3 linked regions of the Alligator mississippiensis genome follow. The main gene of each other region encodes a partner of the protein of the gene in region 3 in a complex. Links are inferred from orthologs where the notes say so. Each region holds a gene or a part of one and is shown on either strand. Other genes may lie near its edges.

The links.
Region 1: POLR3E (region 3) and POLR3F share a complex: the UniProt entries of both Homo sapiens proteins name them as parts of the RNA polymerase III complex. The link is inferred for Alligator mississippiensis from reciprocal best matches to the Homo sapiens genes POLR3E and POLR3F.
Region 2: POLR3E (region 3) and POLR3G share a complex: the UniProt entries of both Homo sapiens proteins name them as parts of the RNA polymerase III complex. The link is inferred for Alligator mississippiensis from reciprocal best matches to the Homo sapiens genes POLR3E and POLR3G.

The regions. Positions count from the first base shown.
Region 1 is NC_081824.1:231,047,918-231,055,721, forward strand, and holds the start of POLR3F (DNA-directed RNA polymerase III subunit RPC6), read right to left. Parts: upstream 3,050-7,804; 5' UTR 2,961-3,049; coding exon 2,905-2,960; intron 2,325-2,904; coding exon 2,207-2,324; intron 1-2,206. Other genes in the region: DZANK1 (double zinc ribbon and ankyrin repeat-containing protein 1), read left to right, coding at 3,336-3,546, 4,322-4,475, 7,691-7,804. UniProt on the Homo sapiens protein: DNA-dependent RNA polymerase catalyzes the transcription of DNA into RNA using the four ribonucleoside triphosphates as substrates.
Region 2 is NC_081826.1:243,056,300-243,063,548, reverse strand, and holds the start of POLR3G (DNA-directed RNA polymerase III subunit RPC7), read left to right. Parts: upstream 1-4,200; 5' UTR 4,201-4,290; intron 4,291-5,179; 5' UTR 5,180-5,223; intron 5,224-7,065; 5' UTR 7,066-7,120; intron 7,121-7,249. Other genes in the region: acyl-coenzyme A thioesterase MBLAC2, read right to left, coding at 3,248-3,818. UniProt on the Homo sapiens protein: DNA-dependent RNA polymerase catalyzes the transcription of DNA into RNA using the four ribonucleoside triphosphates as substrates.
Region 3 is NC_081836.1:46,616,249-46,623,700, reverse strand, and holds the start of POLR3E (DNA-directed RNA polymerase III subunit RPC5), read right to left. Parts: upstream 3,079-7,452; 5' UTR 2,971-3,078; intron 264-2,970; 5' UTR 224-263; coding exon 188-223; intron 1-187. UniProt on the Homo sapiens protein: DNA-dependent RNA polymerase catalyzes the transcription of DNA into RNA using the four ribonucleoside triphosphates as substrates.

The DNA of each region.
Region 1 (7,804 bases), on a different chromosome or scaffold from region 3:
TGTGCATTTCTTTTGCATCATAGTGATACACGCTGTAAAGAAGTTCCCGCCATTTGTATTAGGATCCGTGCCACATTATTGGCCCATTCCTAATGTAGGCACACGTGGCGGCTAGCGATTGGCTTGCTAGCCGTACAAAAGGCTTGGGTAGTTTCCGCCCAAGCCGGAGGAGGGAGGATGAGAGAGATTCTGTGTGAAGATCTCCAAGCGCTGCGGACCCAACGCGCCTCCCCTAAGCAGGCAATAGAGGCAATGGAACCGAGCCTACGGAGCTTTCGCTTCTCGCCGCTCCCCATCACTGAGCGCAATCCTAGACGTATCCCTTTCCTGTAACTTCGGACCCGCGGAGCATAAGTAACTCCGGGGAAACTTTTCGAACCTAACCAAACCCAATTTTCGAACCCACGGAGTCTTAACAGCTCCAGGAGACCTGGGAACCGAACCGGACCCGCGGAGCCTGAGCAACTCTGTGGGAGCAATCGATTTGTGGTGTTCCTCTAGTGAGGATCCAAGCGGAAGCTGTGCCTGGAAACCTATCCAGCCTACACCAATACCATCTTTGGGTGTAAGTAAACAATCTTTTCGATCAACCATTATGCCTCCATAACTAATTCTAACTCGCGTGCGCTAAACCGCCCTGCGGTTCTCTCCAGCCCCGCGTGCCTGGGCTGCCGGCCACAGCCCGTGTGCAACAAAGACGGGCCCGGCTTGCCCCCGGCTCGCACATGGCGACGGGAATGAGATCGGAATCACCGCCGCACATGGCGAGAAAGGTGGGATCGGGGCGCGGCCCACACACCATACATGTGACCCTTGGAACAAAAAGATGAGTACAGGATACATTCAACAGCGACCTTTTGCTTCTAATATTTAGTGTGGACATCTTTTTCTACATTGAGCCATAAGTCTGGCCACGTTTCTAGCAAAAGGTCTTGTTATTATTATGACAAGATCAAGGCATGGGATTTCACCATCACAAATGCTCTCAGGGAAGCTGCTCTGTTCACTGTGGAGGAATGCAAGGAACCTGGGTCACCACTTCGGCATAATACTGGCTGGTGCTATTTGAGCCTGTGCAGCTATACTTGGTTATGTGGGTGTTACAGAATAACAAATGCAACTAAAATTAAAGCAGATAAAGAGGTCAGAGAGAAGCTCAAAACTAAATAAAAATCAGCCTTCAAATCCTGAATCTGGTAGAATTTGAATGAAATATAGGTCCCACTGAAGCCAGTGGCAAAACTTCCTTTGATGTCAGTGGATCTTGACTTCCACTTAGTCTCCCAAGGGAATAAATGTGCTTAACGACCCTGTCATGACCCAATGATTGTGTGTGCGCTTCGGCACTGCAGAATTATTTCCCGCCGTCGGGAGCTTTCTTTGCACAGTGCAATTCTCAGCTGCAGAGAGAAAACCCCGGTGCAAAGGAGTTCCCGCCACCCGTATGTAAATTTGTGTCCCACTATTGGCTGTTTCTAAATTATTTCCACGTGGCGGCTAGCGATTGGCTTGCTAGCCGTATAAGAGGCTTGAGCAGTTTCCGCCCAAGTCGGAGATCTCCGAGAATCTCAGGAGGATCCTGAGAACCCTGATTCCGAGAATTCCGGGAGAAATCCGAGAGAATTCCGGCAAGGAGTCCACGATTATCTCGTGGATTTCTACGTAAATCTCGGACCGAATGGTGGTTTGATCAGCCATCAAGAGTCTCTCCCCGTCACCGAACAATCCCTGACGTATCCCTACCCTGCATGCTCGTTGAGAGTCACAGCTCGGACTCTCGTATAGGTTCAGAGAGCTCTCATCGTTCGAGTTTTTTTTCTTTTCTTCTATCTACAACTGTAACCAAGCAAGTTTTCCTGCCTGCACTGCGACCATCTACAGTGTAAGTAAAACAATCTTTAATCAACCTCCACGCGTCAGTGCCTAATTCTAGTCCGCCGTGCCGACTTCCCCGGCCTACGTGCCCGGGCTGCTGGCCACAGCCCCTCGGCCCCAACAGACCCAACTGTGTTATCCCTGCACTAAAGAAGAATAGCAGTAAGCTGCTGCTAACACTGAACAAAACACGTTTTCTGCTCTAGCCAGTCCAAAAAAGTGAGCAGGCCAGGCCCAGCCCTAAAGCCACACCTGCTTAGGAAGCAAGGGTGCAGGCAGGGAAGCTGTGAGGGGATGGGCTGGTGCCCCCACCAAGCAGATGCAACCCTACCATGGAGAGCAGCCGGTTGATGGCCACGGCCCGCTGCTGGGCGTCCGTGTGGGGCATCTCGTTCTGGATCACCTGATCCGTGATGCCGTGGGGAAACTGATGGCAGAGCTCGATGATCCTGAGTGGGATGAGGAAGAGGAGTCAGTGTGGGTTAGGGTTACCATACGTTACCACGGACATTTCCTGGACATGTCCTGTTTTTGGGTCCTCCTATCTCTATCTAGGCAGTTTTTTTAAATATCAGCAAGTGTCTGGGATTTTGCTCTCCCCGGCTTGTCCCAGCAGCGGGGAAAGTTGAGTAGAGGCTGGTCACCAGTTCTTTGAGCACGGGCCCCAGCAGCTGCAGGGGTGCAGATGGGGGGGGGGGGGGGGGAGTGTGCCTGCCTGCTTGCTAGCACTGGGGCTGCAGCAGGGCAAGGGAGTTGGGGGCAGCAGGCCTGGGGTGGGAGGGCAGGGAGCTGCAGATCAGGAGTGAGGGGCACAGGAAGGCTGGGGGGGTGGGGCAGGGGGCTGTGGGTTAGAAGTGAGGACCAGGGGCAGGGCACGGACATGTCACTATCGCCCCCTCCATCATATATCCCTCCCCCCACCTACAGGTACCTTCTTTTTTTAAAATGGAAATACGGCCACCCCAGTGCGGGGCTCCCCCATGGCCCCGTACCCGCCCCGCCAGAGACACCGCAGGGCCCGCCCGGCACCTGTTCTCTACGTCCAGCGGGTCCGGGACCTCGGGCTTCACCTTGACCTCGGCCATGGCGCTGGGGGAGGAGAGGGACGCCTCCGCGCTCCCCACGCACAACTCCCCGGCAGCGACACCAGGGCCGTGCGGCGCGCACTGATGACGCTAACCACAAACTCCACCCTCACCGAACGCCACGGGCGCCGGTTGAGAGGGAGCGCGCGGCGGACCAATGAGAGGCTGCTGCCTCGGGGGGGCGGGGCTTGGCGGGGAGCGTCCGTGGTAACGGCGGGGCGACGGGGGGCGACGGAGAGGGTGAAGGCCCGGGGGGTGGCATTTCGCTGCGCTTTTATCTGCCTCGCCCGCCTGCGTGCGGGGGGTGAGGGGGATGCGTATGTGTGTGCAGGGGAGTGTGGAGGTGTGCACATACATGTAGGTGTGTTCATGCACATGCACACAAGGGTGTGCGCACACACGTGCCCCCTCACTCACATGTTCATTTTAAAAGTCATATGCTGTTTTGTTTTTCAGGTGTCCACACAGAGGGAAAAAATGACTGCTGGTTCCGTCCTCGTGCCTCAGATTATACCGCTTCAGCTTCCTCTTGCCCGGAAGGCGAAACATGAAATAGATACAAATACCCTCGTTGAAATTAAGTCAGGTACAAACAGCAGCTTTCAGTCTATAGTGGAAGCTCTTCTCCTCTTCTTCTGCAAATTGATGTCCATGCTTTTTGATACTGCATTTGTATTCACACCTTTTTTCACGGGTACCCATTTTCTTAAGTGACCAGCATAAATTTTATGGGTCTTAATTCTGCAAACACACCTGTGCTTTATACGCGTGGGTAGTCCGACTGTAGTGAACAGCGCTATTCACATAGTGTAAACTGTATGGTAAATCATAGGTGTCTGTATTTGCAGGATCAGGGCCTTTAATTCCACTACTTTTGTCCTCCTTCCATTTGAAGTGATGCTGTGTTTGTTCTGTAATCACAGTGTAGTATGAAAACCTGGGCGTTTGATGATTTTGCAGTATGCTACAATTTTTCAAAACTGGGACTTTCTCGTCAGTTCTTCTCCAAAGGTCATATCTGCCAGTTCTGAAATTCCAGTTTCTATTTTTCAACCATAATCCATGTTCACATTAGAACGTGCAAGACTTAGAACCAGTGTTTGTTTTCATACAAGATCACCTGCTCTACAGTTATCTTCTGAGAAGGGAAATCCCTGTGATGAAATTGTCCAACTATTTTGTTGCTGAATTTTGTGAGGCTTAAAAATTGATATAGTCCAGGCCTTGCAATCACTTGCACACCTGCTTAATTTTGCTTAGATGAGTAATTAAGCATATGCAAGCCTCAGCAGTACTAGACCTTCCTTATTTTTGCAAAGTCCCAATATAGTTTTAATGCATATCTTATTTGTGTCTTGCAGATACCCCTGATGTCACCATATACTACACTTTAGATGGAAGTAAACCAGAGCTCTTTAGAAAATCTGGCTATGGAGAGCATAACACTTTTAAGTATAAGGGACCTATCACCTTGCCTGATGGGAAAATAATGGTCAGAGCTACGGCAGTCACAATGTAAGTAGCAACTGTCTATCTTATATTGTTGTTGTTGTTATTTATACTGCAGCAGTGCCTGAGAATGGCAGTCAGAGATCTTGACTACCCTGTGCCAGATGCTGTACAAATACAGAATGAAAGATACTCCTTGCCTCACAAGGCTTACAATATAAGTACCTTGTATGGATTCCTTTTCATTGATATCAGTTTGCCACCACATTTATTAGTATTTACTAATTACTTGCCATGGGCAGTAGTCATGGATGAGGGCCCAATTTCACTAGGCACTATAGAATCTTGCCATGAAAAGTTTTCATCATAAATACATTTGTATAATAGTTTTTATTTTCTTAATAATTTACTTTTAATGAGCCCACTTCAAAAGATGAGCTAACACATTTTCCCACTAATGCTGTGTGGTAGTTTAATATTCCTTTTCCCATTTTACACATGGCAATCCAGAGACGGGAGCAGTCTTTCCAAGTTTCTGTGAAGTCCGTCTTTCCAGGTTTTTGTGGGTGTGGGCATGTAACAATTGAACCATTTAAAAAAATGTCACTGATTGGGAACTGGTTCACAATTGTCATGAGTCAGAGATGTTGGCATGTACAGTGCCCTAGCCTTCCAGGTAGAAGGATTACCTTTTAGCCATTGAAGAACTGTAGCTCCAACACCAGAGGATGGGAGTGAGCACTCAGCCCAGCCTGCCTCACATTGGGCAAGTAATGGGAGAAGAGTGCTTACACCCATGCTTTGAGGATCCTAAGGGGTGAATGACCTGTGATTGTGGTTCACTTTTTTGCTTTCCCTTTTCTCCTAAACATGAAAGTTCAGTAGCGTGCACTTGACCAAAGTCTGCAGTGTGCTTACCTGCCTTGTTGGGGAGAGGGGGAGTGCTTGGATCCATATTTTTGCGTTCCCGGAGGGGGCATAATGAAGGACCATGGCTGAGTAGGGGATAAGGGCACAGCTGGTTGCTAGAAAAATAGCTTTCATTAAACCAGCAGTGCCCTATAAATGTGGTAAAAAGTGCCAACAAAAAGAAAAAAGAAGGGGCAGTAGAATTCTGGTCCTATACCAGAGCAGAAAGTTACAGCAGAGGGGAGAGGGGATGAGAAGTGATGCAGTGTTGGGTGCTTAGACCATGGAAACCCCCACCAATCTGAATCATGGACAACTTGGACTCCACAAATAACATTGACGCAGTTCACAGTGAACCAGTTCAAAAGAGTACTTGATTTTCCAGGTACTCATCTGAACCATTCCAGGCAGTTTAAAATTGGTTTAACAGACTAGTATGTCTATCAGGTTTAAACAGCATGTAAACTATTCTTAGTGTTATGTCTGTCCAGACCCAAAGCATACTGCTCAAGGCCATCTACTAGATTAGTAATAGATTAAAGGCTAGTTGTTCATAATCCCAGCCCCACAAGCCTCACTAGATCACACTGGGTGCATCTACACATGCAAATGATGCTAGATGGGTTTACTCCACAGTAATTTACTGTGGAGGAAACCCACCCTGGGTAGGCATCTACATCTGCAGGCATTTGGGACCAGATTTGCTCCCAAACAGAGCAGCCCAGAGAAGGATGCTCCCACCCTGGTTTGGCCCCCTGAAGCAGCCAGGGGAAACTTTAGGCTCCCACTGGGTACAAGCCCAGGGGCTGGCAGAGAGCATGGGGCCAGGAGACAGCTGTCTCCTGGTGGGGGATGGGAGACTGCTCCTTGCCCCTGGGAGGTGTCTGCTGCTAGGGTAGGCGCCAGTGGTGAAGCCTGGCTTGGGACTGTGTTCCCCTGCCCCAGCAGCAGAGAGCTCGAAGCCCCGGCTCCACAACTGCGGGCAGGGGGCTTGGAAATTGCTGCAAGGGAGGGGCAGGTCCCAGCCTCCTACCCCAGTCCACCAGTGGGGCAGCTAGCAGTGAACCTCAGCTGAGTGGGGATTTCTCCCTGTTCCACCAGTGGGGCAGCTAGCAGTAAGCCCCAGCTTGGCGGGGATTCCCTACTCAGTCAGGAACTCACTGCTAGCTTCCCCACTGGCAGATGAGGTCAGGAGCCTGGGACAGCTCCCAACCACCCCCGGCTTTGCAAGGAATCCTTGCCCAGCTGGAGGCTCACTGATAGCTGCCCCACCGACGGATTGGGCAGGGGGCTGGGACCTGCCTGTCCTCTGCAGCTCTTTCCAAGCCCCCTGCCCCTAATTGTGAAGCCACAGCCAGGAGCTCCATGCTGCTGGGACAAGGGACCATTGTCGCAGCCCAGGCTCTGCCATTGGAGCCCGCCCTGGCAGCAGGCAACTCCTTGGGGCAGGGAGTTATCCACCCTTCCTCCCACCCCCTCTCCTCCTCCCCGCCAGCTGCCCAACTGACTGGAAGCAAATTTGATCCTGGTCAGCTGTCTACACAGGCAGACACTTATTGCACAATACATTGGTCTACTCCACAGCAAATGCAGGTAGCAAATTAATTACATAGTTACTGCATAGTAAGGCATGTGTAGATGGCTGACTGGGAACAAATTTTCTTCCAGTCAGCCAGGCAGCAGGGGGCGGGAGATTGATCCCTGCCCCTGGGATCTTGCTGCACAGTAAATTGTTCTACTGTGCAATAAAGCATCTTGAGTAGACGCACCCACTGTCTCCTAATATTAAAATTCTAGCGCTTGAATTTTAAGCATTGACCTGGCCGTGGTGCCACTAGTTTCTTGTTCAGCATTTGTGGATGTTGGAGCATACTTGGAAGTTCCACTCCCTGGGTTTCGGGGCTGAGGTATCAGTGACATGTTGGTGTGTTGCAGCAGAGAGTGCTGGCCTAAGCTGCTTTTAGAGCTGCACTATGGACCCCTAATTATAAGTAGTCATACAAAGTAGGAGATAAATACTCCCCTACCATACATCCTTATAAATAATGGGGGGCATGCTGCCTTCTCTCATGCAAATGAATGGCACCCTAGTAATCACTAGTAAGGCATATTGGGAGCAAAGAACAGGTGAAAGAGGATTTTTGTGAAAGAGGAACAGGTATTAAATGTATCCATTTTTTTTCTATCCGTTTTTATTGGTGAATTTTATCATACCTAGAATATCAGTGGTTTGTTTGACTGGGATTATGCTTGTTTGATGAAATAGTAGTCTGCTGTCCAGAAGGAGGAGTTTCAAGACAGGACCTATTTTCAGTGTTGATTTACTTTTTACTGCACATAATTTTGTGGTATACCTTTTTACTGACTTTCAGGGACTGCAGAGAAAGTGCCATTGTAACAAAGATGTTTTTGGTAGAATACAAGCCACCAAACATACTGTTCTCTGATGAAGATAATGATGAGAATTTCCTGAAGGACCTCTCCAA
Region 2 (7,249 bases), on a different chromosome or scaffold from region 3:
GCATATTACAAAGGTGCCGAACAAAGAAAGCAAAACAAAAAAACAGTAGTCAACAGGTGACTACCGAACTTGTAATAAAATTTAACACACCTGAATGACTCCTTTACACTTTCGTGAGATAAAAATGTTGTTTCTTATATGTAGTGGGCAACTCACATAAACCTTTACTATCATCTAAATATTTTAAAGCTAAAACCTTTAACGTAGAGATGCCTATATCCCCAACTTTATAGAGCCAACAACTCATTTCTGTAGTGAAGACCTATTCAAAAGGAGGAAAAACTGTACTGCTCTCAAGGATTTTTTAACTCTAACTTTAATCAAATATTTCTCCTGTACATTTTATAAATATTACCTAAAAGAAAGAGTTACCTTGAGTTTCATTTTGATTTTATCAAAATGAACTGAAGAACCTACCCTATATCATGCAGTAAAACAACTAGATAATTTTGAAATAGTCAGTGCTACAGCAATCTAGGTTGGCCTATATCCATGCTGATGTTTGAAAATATATCACAAATAAAACAACACTATTTCTTATGGTTGCTTTTATTTCCATACTATAAAAAGGGGTACATTAGTGCCATAAGAGAAGAAAAAAGGGTATCTGGCTCTCTCAGAAATCTTCACAATTAAAAAACATCAGAAATAGAATTTCTTTAACTGCTGAGGTAACGTTAATTGCTTCCTTTGCTTTAGGATCAAACCAGAGAAAACATATCTATAAACAAATGTGTGCCTGTATCTGCTGGATTCTTTCAGTATGGGAGAGGGAACCGAAATGTAAGTCTCAGATTTTCCTTACCTTTGTCATCAAAAAATAGCTGAAATACTGAGTATACATGCATATAGTTGCATTAATCTCTCTTAAGACATGAAGGGACAGACATAACCATACACTCAATAGAAGATTATCATCCTGTCTGGTCCAAATTGCTGTTGACTGATAGAGAATTCTCTCCTTGGGTGCAGATTCTATTGCCCATTAGTGAAAAAGCTTCCTGTAACAACCCTGACAAACTGGAAAACCACACAATTCCTGGCAGTCATCCCCAGCCACTGATTTGCCTGCTTCCCACGGGACAACAAAGTAATGTTTTTATTTGACTAGCTCAAGGAAAGTATTATTTTCTTTGTCACTTCCACAGAGAGATGAAAAATTAAGATTCTGAAGAGCGTTGAAAATGTTTGTCTTCTACATCTAGTAACATAATTCCCTCCAATACACCCGATTCATAATTTCCTTCAATACACCTAATATGCCTGATCTTCCACTACCCAATATCCGGAGCAGCTGTTTACATGTTGTGGTATAAACCATTACCAAAATCAGTATTCTCCACTGACTTGAGGTTGTGACATTTTATTTGTTCTTTGCACTGCTGTAAAAGGCCAGATAAGACCAAGGCAGAAAAGAATCAGGTCTCTAATCTGGAAACTAAGACAAGTTTGTGCCTACGTGCTCTACAGAGATTCACTACAAACATACAACTTGATGCAGCCATTATAACTCTGCTGATCAGGTAACAGACATCAGTGAAGTAGATGCCAATATAATTGCCATTCTTTATATTTAAAGACTATATACAGCAAATACCAATAATGCAACCAGAAACTATCCTGGTATGCATTCAGATGCATATAAACGCACCCCAGCCTATATGGCTGATATTAGATGTAGAAACAAGAACTGCAGTAAATGTCCAAGAGGTGTGGGCACACAAAAACACAGAGGCAATACATACAAACTTCTGACAGGCAACCACGCAGGTGCACTGCCCTATGTTGAGACAGATGTGCACTGTCCCTGTGTGCAAGTGGGACACACAAGAGGCAGCAGCGCAGGGCAGCACCTTATACACTAACTCATTCAAGGCATAGAGCACTAGGTGCAGAAGGACCCTGCAGGGGCACATGAATACCAGCAAAATGGCCTATACGGCTGGTGTGCCTGTGTATAGGGGCAACTGCTCCCGGCAGGCTCAGTGCCCCGGGACTGGATCAGTGCTTACCTGGAAGCCCAGATGTGTTTGCACCTAGGTGCTGTACAGACAAGGTTATTTGGGTGAATATGATATTTTTTATTAAACCAGTTAAAGAGTTGGAAAATTGTTCTTTGCAAGTTTCCAGGTACAAACACCCTTCTTCAGGCACTGGGAGAGTCTGGCATTTCTTCATATGCTGTTCTGCGTGGAATCCAACTGGTCTAATAGAAGATATCACAACTCTTGGGGAGGTGATTTATTTTGCAACGATCTAGGTGGTCTAGTAAAAGATATTGCCTCCCCAAGGGTTGCAGACTAACATGGCGACAACCTGTTTTTGTTTTTTCATAATTTTTGTATTCCAAGCCAAATTGGCCAAAGCATTTCCAAATCCGTGAGTCAGTCCAGAACCCAAAGTTGCCTTACTATCGGCAAATATCCTCCACCCCCACCTGGGGCTTCAGATGTTCCCAAATCCTTTGGCGGGCATCCTGTTTGCAGGCCCAAGCCCAGAGACTTGGGGACCCTGAGTTTTGCTTGCCCTTAGCTATAAGACCCCAGGAGCAAGCTAGGGAGGAGTCTCTCATTTCCATAAAGTAGGCATAAAGCCCAGGTTAACTGTGCATTACCTACACGGGTACTACCCCATGCCAGCAAAGCAGTCTTTCCTGAGTGCGACTAGGAAGCCATGGTGGTGATCGTGGTATTTCCCCTAGGTAAGCACAGACTATGCCTGATCTGAGCCCACAAGAAGCCAACAAGCCACGCAGCTACAACCTGTACCCCTAATAAAAGATACCCTACTGACCCCAAGGACCTCGTCTGCCCACGTCCTTAGACCAACACGGCTACAACCAACAACCCTAGGCATAGGGCTACCAACTCTCCTTCAGTCCATTCCCGCAGGTGTTATCACCTGACCTCATGACATTACTGACTTGACACCAGGAAGGCACACGCACATTACTACTACATTTTAGACACCAGCAAAACTACTAGATACATCCGATTCAACATTTAATAATATTAATGTTAACGCATTCCCTCTGGTTTCTCTCCCGGGTAGCAGTCTCCTGGAGGTTTGCATCCAACTCCTGCAGACTCCAGGGCGATCCTGGGGGGCTGGCACCCCACCCAGGTGCTCTCCCCGTCGTCCACCAGACGCACCGACCCCTTCTCGGCCCCCCCACAGCCCGGGGGGCAGGCGCGCCACCCGCAGCGCCGCCCCTGCCTCCCTGCAGGCCGGGCCGGGCCGTACGCACCCTCCTGCAGGACGTGCGTGGGCTGCACGGGCGGGACGCGGAAGCTCCGCGCGGTCCAGCCGGGGCCGGGCGGCCGCACCACTTCGCGGTCCGACAGCCACGTCACCGCCTCGTAGTTGTCGCCGCGCTGCAGGGCGCCCGCCTCGGCGCCGTGCACCGCCACCTCGGCGAACTGGTGCAGGCCGCCCGCGTGGTCGAAGTGCACGTGGGTGGCCACGGCCAGCAGCGGCCGCCGGCCCCCGCCCGCCGCCTCGTCGTCGGCGCCGGCCTCCAGCAGCCCGGCGGCGCGGAGGTAGTCGGGCAGGCTGCGCAGCCCCAACCCCGTGTCGATGACCACGTCGCGCTGCGACCCGCGCACCAGCCAGATGTTGGCGCGGTTGCCCGACTCGTAGAAGCGCTCCTGGATCCAGTAGATGCCGCCGCCCAGGGCCTTGTGCGCGAACCACTCCAGCGCCGACATCCCGCCTGCCTGCCTGTCCCCCTTCCCCGGCGCGGCGAGGGGGGCGGGGCCGGAGGTGGTGGCTGCGGGCGGGCACGGCCCTGCCCACTGCAGCAGCCGGGGTGGCCGCATGAGTGGCGGCTGCGCTGCCGCCTGATGCAAGGGGCGCAGCGCTGGGCGGGGGGCCTCGCCTCGCTTCGCCTCTGGGAACAACCCCCGGGCGCCCTAACGCCGGAGCTCGAGGCCGCCTACCCGGGGGGAGGCAGCGTCCACTGGACTCCTTGGAGGGCTGCTCCGCTCCGGGCCGCCCTTCCAGATCCCTGGCTTTGAACCTCTGACCCCGTTCCCTTCCCTGCTTTCCTTTTACTTTGCTCCAAGGAATTAGTGGCCGCTGTCTCAGTAGCCTCTTTTTCTCCGGGGGCGTTGGCCCACGACCCCTTCTCGCAATAGCAAGTGGGCCGGTGGGTGGAGGGACGAAGCCGCTTGAAGTTGAGGCTTTCAGATCAAGTGACCAAGTGCGCGGGGCTCATTTGCCCGTGCGGTGCTCTGGGCAGGTGCCCCTGGTGTACTGGTGCTCGCGGTTGCCTTGCAAACGTGGGAGGCGGTAAGTGGCCAAGTCCCTGGCAAATGACTCTCATCTTTCAGGCCAGGCCAAAGTGCTGATCTGTCAAAAGGTTTTGTGTTAGGGTAGCTTGTGCCTGTTCCCAGGTTCTCCCAAGGGGTTCTTCACCAGTGGGTGCCTGGGGCAAAAGGGAAGGGCCTTGCCACACATTCAAACAAAAACTGGATAGAAACCAGCTACAGACTTGTTACACATTGTCAAGTGCTAACTTTATAGCGGGTTGGCTCTCTGTAGAGCTGTGTAGTCCTTTTGATTGTGTGATGATTACTTTGCACGTGTGGTGGGTCTAATTTATTGCCTGATTCACCAGTTAGTTGTGTGATAATTACTTTGTGCTTGTGCTTGGTTTTACTTTGTGTGTGTGTGTGTGTGTGGCGGGTCCAAATGTATTGTGCAATTCACCAGTTCGTTGCGCGATAATTACTTTGCGCGTGTGGCCTGTCTTGCTTTGCACATGTGGCTGGTCAGAATTTATTGTGTGATTTGCCAGTTAATTGCATGATAATTACTTTGCACTTGTGGCCAGTCTGGCCACACCTACAATGTAAGTCTAAATTTATAGTGCAATTAACCTGTTCATTACCTAATATGTGTAACGTGTAGCAGGGGCTAAGTGGTTAATTGAAGTGATTTTTGTTGTTTTTATTTTTTTGGGCTCCCATAGGCTTAATTGTCAATCTGAAAAACCTCTTTCTGAGTGTGCACAGAGTGATATTTGGTGCCTCTGCTGCCGCTTTTAGCTTTCCAGAGCAAGCTTTAATGGAATGAAAACTGATACGAATTTTAGCTTAAATACTCCTCTTTGGAACTCATTTTGATCAGCTATAAAACTAAAGATAACCACATGTTTTTGTTTCTCTTGCTGCTGCAGAAATCCATGAACAGCAGCAGAGATAAAAGAAGCACATTCACAAGGTAAATTGGTAACAACTATTTCCTTTCCTGCAGCATCTTGGAGCCTTCGTGGTGTCTGGAGATCTGGCTTATGTACAGTTATTACATTTCTAGCAGCTAGAGTATATTAAAAATGGAACTGGGAACAGGATGTTGGCAGAGGTGGTTCCAGAGAAAGCGCAGTGGTTCTGTTGCACTCCCCTCCCACCCTTTCAAACCACACTGTGGGACTAGCAGCCAGGGACATTTTTAATTCCCTGAAGCAGGTAAGAATCCCTATCCCCCTCTTTCCCTCCATGCTTAGTGGTATGTCCACTTCACCCCATTCCCCTTCTTCCCTGCCTGCTACTATCCGGGAATAGGGGAAGCTCCAGAACCTCTCCTGCCCCATTCTAGCCAGGCTACATGGAAGTCAGGCTTAGCAGGGGACAGCAGCAGTGGCGGTGGGTGGGTTCCCCCTCCCTGAGCTTGTTCCTGAGTTATCAGGGAACACTTAGGGGACCTTGCACAGAGAGAGAACCTGTCCACTGCCACTGTCTCTGGCTGAGCACAATTGGAGTGGGGCAGGAACAGCTCTGGAGCTCCCCTTGTCCCCAAGGTCAGCTGGGGATAGCAGCAGCTTGAGCGGGGAAGGAATGGGAAGGCAGGAGAGGTGCTGTTAAGCACAGGTAAAGGGAGGGGATGCCAAAAGTGGGTGTGGGGAGGCAAGATTCTTACCTGATTTGGGGACTTAAGAAAAAGTCCTCAGCTGCTCTTCCCACTGTGTGTCCTACCCAGGGTACAGCCACCCCTCTAGTGCCAGTCGCTGGTCCCACACCCCTCTTTACAAAATCCTGGATCTGTGTATAGCTAGGGACCACAATCCAAGCTGTCCGTGTCCTACCCCCCCCCCCCCCCCAAGGGCTTGGTGACGAAGCTTTTTACGTGGACAATGGCATGTTTCATTTTCATGTTGTCCCCTTAATAAATTTTTGGTAATTTTTTTCAAGCCAGGTGTGTGAGACTTGATAAGAGGAGGTGTTTGGATAAAGCAGGTATTGGTGTATGTGGGTGGGATGAGTATGGAACAAACAGAAACTGAAGGAGTAGAGATAGTGGCAGTCACCTTTCATCAGCTCCATCAGGTGTGAAAGCTGCTTGCTCTATCTTTCAGATTCATATCCGGCCACCATTACCCATGCTTTTGTAACCTTGAGGCTAGATTAATACTTTAATGCACTCTATGTGGGATTGGCTTTAAGGACCATCCGGAAGCTGCAACTGGTGCAGAATACAGTGGCCTGCTTTCAGACATGGCTGGGTCCCCAGGAGCACATTACTCCCATACTTCCAGAGTTAGTACTGGCTTCCTGTAGTTTTCTGAGTGCAATCTGAGGTGCTGGTCATGACCTATAAAGCCCTACATGTCCTGAGTCCTATATACCTAAGGTAGGTAAGACCATTATGATCCCTAAAGTCAGCCGAGAATAGCCTCTTGCAAGTACCATCAGCACATCAAGTCTGCTTGGCCAAAACACATGGGCCAAAACATCATTCTCAGATGTTGCTCTTCAGCTCTGGAGCTTTCTCTCCCTTGACGCCTCTAGAGTCTGCCGCCATTTAAAGGTGGCATAGGATCTTTTTCATTTGGACAAGAATTTAGCAGGTGGCATTCAGCTGTGTGTATTATTTGGGGAATTGTTTTGCTTGATTAATTTTTATGACTGTCTTTGTAAGTTGCCCTGAGCTTTTGTGGGGAGGGCAGTGGCATAGAAATCAAATAAATAAATGAAGTATAGGGGAGTGGAGGGAGACTTAACACAAAGAGAAGGAACAGGCTGTAAATATAAATAGTACATAACAGTTTATTCCTTTAAATTGTAGGGGACTGTGGCACCACAAATATTTTTCATGCTGGCTTAACCCTCAAGGGCATCAGGTATTTTTTCTTTGTTTGTATAATTTTAAACCTCTAAAATCTACCTTTCTTTCTCTGATATCACCCCTTGCCCCCACCAAAACCACCCGCCCTGAAAATTCATTTTAAGGTTGAAAATAATCAAGAGAG
Region 3 (7,452 bases):
GCTCGGAGCATGACTTGCCACTGATCAGAGAAAATGCAGGCTGTGCACCGAATCCTCATATCTTTTGTATGCTATTGTTTACTGACCATCAGACAGCAACTCAGCTCAGTGATATTCTTTCAGGAGAGCCAAAAGCTAAGAAACCTAAATATGAGGAAAGGTACACAGTTGTCCAGTGTATATCTACCTCTTGTATAATTGGGTCATCTTCTTCATTTGCCATGCTAGAATGGTAAAAGCTGTCTTGGGCTCTCTAGCACAATCTGAAAGAGAAGAAAAATACCACATCAAGCCTGGGCTGTGAAAGTTAGTTCCCTGGCCCTTACTGAACAGGAGTATTCACGGGCTGCCATCCAGGGGAAAGCAGAACCTTGGCTGTGGACTTAGTCCAGAGATGTCTGAGTTGTGACAGGCGTGGTTAACTGCAGAAGCATCACAGGAGAAGCAGCCTGGTGCATGGCTGTGGCACTTAACTTGGGTGGCCTTGTATAGTTTCTGGCCAGTCTCTACTGTTCACCATAACCATAATGCTCCGACCAGCTCAAGGCCCCATCCAATTGCACGATTTGCACTGCCATAACAAGGACCCTAGCCTAGGATTCAGAAACACTGGATTGTAGCCCAAACTCTTCCACTGCCCTGGTCAATTCACTCTGCCCTTCACAACAGGGGAAGCAGGCACTCTTTGTCTGCCTGGTCTAGTTAAACTACAAACTGTTTAAGGCAAGGACTGTTCCTTACTACGTGCTATACAGTGCCAAGGGAAATACAGTATCAACTGCTGAGATCAGGGCTGTAAGAAACAGGAAGCAGTGAGCTTGATTCAGCCTAGTGGTTGTGGGACACCCTCTCCCAGGGTGTGGGAAACCAAGGTTAAATTCTCTCCATTCCCGGAGGGATTTGTACTTGTCATTTCCTAACTACCAGGCTACAGGACACTGATGAAAGGCTGCACTCAAGCCCTCCTTTTAAAACTGTTCCACTCTCTAGAAAAAAGTTAACGATTCACTGAACCAGAGTCAGAAGGACTGTAGCGTGTTGGTGTGACCACTGCTGGGCCGGGAGAAGGCCCTCATTCTGGTCCCTGCTCTAAGGACTGGTTCTGTATTTTACATGATGTTCCTTTGTGTGTCTACCCCTTGGTTATTAGAAGTGCCAGTAATTTTCCAATTCCTTTAAAAGATGACTAGAAGTACTTCTAATACAGGCAGGAAGCATATAGGGAGGAAGCATCGTTACCAAAACCAGTTTTATAACATTCATAAAAGCAACTTTCCATAGTGAAGAAAGCTAAACTAAACTCAAGGATTTCAAAGACACAAAAACAGAACTGTATGAAACCTTTTCAACAGAAATATAGTAAAGGAAGAAAGAAATACATGAACAGTAGAAGAATAACAGAAAAAAATTGAGATATATAAATAAATATGCTTGATTTGTAACTGAATAGATAGCACAAAGTCGTCTTATATCAGTTTTGGATTCATAAAAGGGGCTAGAAGTGCCAATCATTATTGGTCAATTAAACTGAGAGAACATGTGACACTGATACACACATGCAGACAGCAACACGAGCTACTTTAGAACAGGTGAAAAAAAAATCATATCCAACAGAAATTGCAGGTAGCATTTACAGAGATATAATCCAGCTACCCAAAAAGATGACCAGAGCCAGGATATTAGGGTATCCCAAAAAGTGAGCCTCGGGATCTTGAGCAATCAGAAAACAAAGACTCCTGTTTTATGTCTCTCTGAAAAACAGCATCTCCAACAGCACAGTGTCCCCTGCAACACCGAGACTGTAACACATTTCTGCTTTTGTGGGTACATGGAGATGTTCCTGAAGTCCCTGGACACATAGGGAGAAACCCAAAACATTTCCCAGTGCCATGTGTCACAGTACTAAAAGGCCGAGAACCGCTGTCCCACTGATCCACTGGCTCCTTCCCAGGACCGAAGGGAGACTGCCACCTTCTGAGTTACTGGCATCATTTCCTGCAGCGTCCAGGTTTGCCTCAAGAGCTTCACATCTAAATACCGGTGCTGCTCCTGTTTAACTCAGGCTTGGCTAGCATCCGGCAACTCGGGGCCTGCTAAAAGGCTTTCCATAAGCCCCTGAAAGGCAATTCCACATGATGTTTACCAGGCTCTTTACCAGGCCTGTCCATGAACAGGTTTGGAAGAGGACTTCCTGCTAATGACCAAGGAGCTTACAGGGATTTGTTGTGCAGCAAGGCTCCCATCACAGGGTGCTGTAACTTCTGCCCGGCAGACCCTGCTACAGGGATTTAAGGAGGTCCCTCATCAAGCAAGCACCTCTTTTCAGTGCCTCGGCATTTGTGTAGCGGCGTGCACAATCCCTCGGGCCCTTCCGCTCACTCCCTGCTAGTGACCACGTTAGGGGTGAAAACAACCCCGCCACACCCCAGGACACCTGGTCAGTGAGTCAGGGAAAGCAGGCACCATGTGGCCTGTGGCCCAGGTGGGGCGGCCTGCACCCTGCCACTCCCTGCTGCCAAAACCTTTTTTTAATTTCATTTTTGGTAACTGGAGAACCTACTTTCTCGCGGCACCCTGATGCCAGGCAGGGTGGGAGGGCAGGGGGCAAAACGAGGGTCGGAGGCAGAAATGCTGCTGGGAGGACGGAGGTGGCTTGCTGTGAGCCAGGATGCAGCAGTGCCTGAGCCAGGGAGCCGGCTGCCAGGCAGGCACCGAGGCCTCCATCTCCCCGCAGCACTTTCCCAGGGCACTGGCGGGGCGAGGGCCCTGCTTTTATGTTTATTTTTTTGCAGGGGGAAATAAGCGTCCCAAAAGCGGGACCAGCCCCGCAGTCAGGGACAGGCTCCCGACCCCCGCCCAGCGCTGCCTGGATCCGGCGGACCCCGGCCCGGCGCTGTCAGCCGGGCCTGATCTCCATCCTGCGGCGCGGCCCCGCCCCGGGCCCCGGCGGCCGGCCCTGCCTATCCCTACCTGCGGGGAGCGGCGGGCGCCGGTGGCCCCTCAGCGCGGTGCGGCTCCGGGGCGCTCTCAGGCGGCGGCCATGTTGCTCCCACTCCGGCAGACACGTGGGAGGCCCGGCCGGACCTCCTTTTACCCACAATGCTGCGGGCGGCGGGCCGGGCCGGGCCGGGCCGGGCCGGGCCGGCAGGCGGCGCTGCGGAGCGGCCGGGAAAGAGCGCAGGGACAAAATGTTCTGGCAGCGGTGGGATTCGAACCCACGCCCCCGAAGAGACTGGAGCCTTAATCCAGCGCCTTAGACCGCTCGGCCACGCTACCCAGATGATGGGGCTGTCTGCTGCGGCCCACTTATCTCTGTGTTATCTTCTAGAGCCAGCGTGGCCAAGGCTTTGCCCCACCGGCGTTTGTCCGCATTTCCCCTTGTGCTGAGAGAGCCTGAGCTTGTCCGGGTTTCCCCGGTGCCCCTGCTGCCTCCGTCCCCTTGCAGCCCCCAGGCTGTGCTGTGATCCCGAGTTTTGCTAACTTCAGCCTGGGCCTTGTTGCATTTCGTCCGCGGCGCCTCTACCCGCGCTCTGCCGCGGCAGCTGGAGACCCACCTCTGTGCACGGGGCAGAGCAGAGCCGGGGGCCCCCCAGGACCAACACTCAAGGGAAACAGGGTGTGCTACCTGGGGTGCTGCTCACATGCAAGGGCTCCTTGGCTCTGTCCTTTCTTTCTTGCCAGCGCTTCTGCAGCTGGGGGAAACTGAGGCGCAGGGAGTGCGCACCACTGGCTACACTTGGATGTGGGGCATAGGGAGGGGCAGGCTCATGCCCATGGGTAGAGGGCCAGAAAGTCTCCTGGAGGCAGTGCACAGACCACACGCGCACGCGAAGGGCAGAGGTGACTGATAGGGGGTGCATGTGCCCCCCTCAAGGGCCAACACTGATGCTGTCGGTAGGGCCGGTGCCCTCCCTGACAGGGTCGGCAGCTTCTGCAGGTGCCCCCCCAGATTCAGGAGGCACCAGTCACCCATGCCAAAGGGGGAGTAACTTCTGGCGTTTCTCAAGGGCGCTGGGCAGAAGCCACTGGGAGCCAAACCTTCCCGTCACTTGTCTGCCACAAGGACCCAGCTGCTGTTCGGGGGCGCTGTTCTGAAAAGTCTCCAGCTCTGGCATTTCATGCCCCCAAGGCCCCTCATACTTGTACTTCCTGCCATGGTGGAGTTGGGCTTTCAGCACGATAGGCCAATTTCTGTTGCCAGTATCCCAGACTCAATAATAGCAGTGTGGGCTGCCTAAAGCTGGGCGCACCTATATGTACATTCATGAAGGACTGGTGCCTTCTGAGACTGGGGGGGCACAATTTGTAGGCGGCAGTGTCAGCCGCAGGGTGGCGAGTGGCAACTACCCGCAGAAGTCAGCAGCAGGGGTGGGGGTTGTAGCGAGCGGCGATGGGTGACTGCCCACAGAAGCCAGCAGCGACAAGCAGCAATTGGTGGCCGGCTGCAGAAGTCACCAGTGGCAGCAGCAGCAAGTGGCGACTGCCCGCAGAAGCTGCGGTGGTGGCAGCGGGGAGGGTGGCAAGTGGAAGCCAATCTCAGGGGGGGCATGTGCCCCCCCCATACCTCCTTATGAGTCACCTATGCATACAATACTGCACTTTTCCTAATGCGCATTAAATTTAGCACCTTGGGGCACTTTTACACATGCTCTGCGGGGTGGGGAGCTTGAATTAGAGCAGCTCACGCTCTAATTAAAGTGCCATAGCAGCTTCTGTATCAGTGTCCCTGAACTTCAAAATGGCAGCAGGGGCATTTGAACTAAAGCCCGTTTAACAAGCTTTAGTTCACGCTCCCCTGTTGCCATTTTGAAGCGAGGGGACACAATACGCAAGATGTGGGAGGCTGCTGGAACACAGTCATTGCCACGTTCCAGCAGAGTCAATTACTTACAACGCACTGAAGCGGCCTCCAGGCTCGTGTACAGGCACCCTTCAATGTGAGGTACTCAATTAAAGCACATTAGGCTGCTCTAATGTGCAGTAGCACAAATGCATGTGTTTTAGGTAACACTGGACACCTTCACTTAAGATTAGGAGCTAATTACTGCATGTGTCACCATCTACATGTGCAGATGCTTATTGAACAGTAATTTGCTCTAATCACTAGTATATTTGCTACCTGCAAATGCAAGTAGCAAACAGTCAAGATTACTTACTTACTTATTATGTACTGCCTGCCTGGGAGTGGGGACCGGGAGATCCTTATTGGGGAGCTCCCTGACAGCTGGAGCTGCCAGCTTCCACTTCAGGATGGGGAGTGGGGGCCTAGAGCTCCCCCTGGCCGTTGCAGAGGCCCAGTGCAGGGCCACAGGGTGTGGGAGCAGTCTGCTGTTAGGATCTGCTTCTGCATCCCTGCATGTGTAGCCGCATACCCAGGAGTTTACTTTAAAGCGAATTGCTCCCAGATTATTTGCACTTTTCACACAAGCGCATAATGCCTATTTTACTATGCATTAGCATAATAGCAGAGTTTTTTATGCCCTGCTTTAATGTGCAGTAAAATAGGCTACTGCGCATTAAAGCGCACACGTAGATGTACCCATTGTGATCCTCGCAGAGGATGATGGAAAATCGATCTACCCCTGGGAAGGGCAACTGGGGATTAAGAGCACTTCGTCCCTTGGAAAGGATGTTCAGCTGAGACCCAGATTGAGTGATCACTAATGATCCATAGGGCTTCTTGGAAGAGCAGGTGTTAGGTCAACTCCCCTGGCCACATGATCATGTGTGTGTTTACATTGAACTTCACTGTGAGCTTGGGCCTGTGCCCATGCCTGTCCCATGACTGATTCACCCAGTCACCAATACACCTGCATCCCAGGGTGAGTGCAAGATGAGTCCATAATCTATGGCTTCACAGGCTGTACCCCACAGGTGCTACCCACCTCTGAACTCTGGTTGCAGCATAGCTGTGCGCAGGAAGTCTTCCTCTATCATCAGTCCCACAATCCCCTGTCCTGTTCCTTCCAGCCTGTCTGTACTCCACTGCCTTCCTCTATTGCCCAGAAGCAGGGTCATGCTTTGTTAACTCCCTGGTCAGAGCACAGCCCATCATCTTCTGGAAGTGCCACTAGCAGGCACCACTGACTCCTGCTGGAAAGAGTACAGCAAGCACCAGTTTCAGCCTGGTCAACACTTCTCTCAGTAACAGTGTGCACATCTGTGCTCAAAGTGCCTAAATGGTAACGAAGTCACAGATTTCTGTCAGCTTCCCCAAATACCAGTGGCAGTTGACAGGAAGTATGTGTGGACAGTCCTTTTCTTGTGCCAGGTCTAGCAGCTATCCCAAAGCAATTCCAGTGTCTAAATTCCTCCCTCTAAATCCTGCAATTTTGGGACATACTCAGCCCCTGGTAGCATGCACATGCAAGCAGGCAAACATGCCATGTAAAGCTGCTATAAAGGACAAACACAGATCCAAACCCTGTGCTCCTGCCTGGCATAGGAAGGAGGTGCTGGATTTCCTCAGCCTGTGGGAGAAGGGCCTGTCCAAGCCCTGCTCCTGGGGAACCACACTGTATACAGGGCAAATGTGGAGGGCGTGGAAGCAAAGGGCTACAAGGAGGATTTCTGGGCCAAGGCCAAGGCCCTTCAGCAAGCAAATAGCTTGAGTCGTCCTGCCAAGTGACACCCACGATGCATCCCTTTTTCATGGTGCTCCATGCCCCTAGACCTGCTCCTGGAAGTGAGCATTTCAAAGGACAATTTTCAAAGGGAACTCAAGGAGGAAACCATCACACCCTGCATCAAAGAGGAGGATACTCCTTCTGTGAGGATAAGGCAGAGATACTAAAACCCCCACAACCTCTCCTCAGACACCCACTATTCAACTGCCAGCACAGCTGATGCTAAGGCCAGAGCAGCAGTCAGGAAAGGGAGCTCTGGAAAGTGCTGCATTTTCTCCTCTTTTTCCTCCCAGTACACACATTTCTTCCCCAGGACATTCTCCCCAGCCCAGATAATGCAGTCACATTTCCTTTCCTGCTACTGCTGTAAATACAGGATCCTTATCTTCTTTTATCAGTGTCCTTGAGCACAGTAGCCTTGAGTAGGACATTTTCAACAGTAGCAGCAAGGCTGATGGCCAGGAGGAAACAGAAAAAGCCCTCCAGAGAGAATGTGGGGAAAGCTGAGGAAATGCATCTTGGCATCTGTCAAGCAATGGAGGCAGCAGGAACTCCTGGGAGGGAAGCACATAAGCATCTTCCCAAGGACATCCTACATTTTTAAGGCAGCAGACAGACATGTTCAGACCATCAGGCCTACCATGTCACAAACATCCAGTCCCACACAGACATGGGATTTTATAGCAAAAGAACCCTATTACTTTAGGTGCCTTCGTCATGGGACGATGGCGTGTCACTTTAAGTATACCCAGGTTGTTAAGCAGTACAATTCTCACAGTGTACAGACAGTTACAAAAGTAAAAGAGTAGTTACAGGAGTACAACGC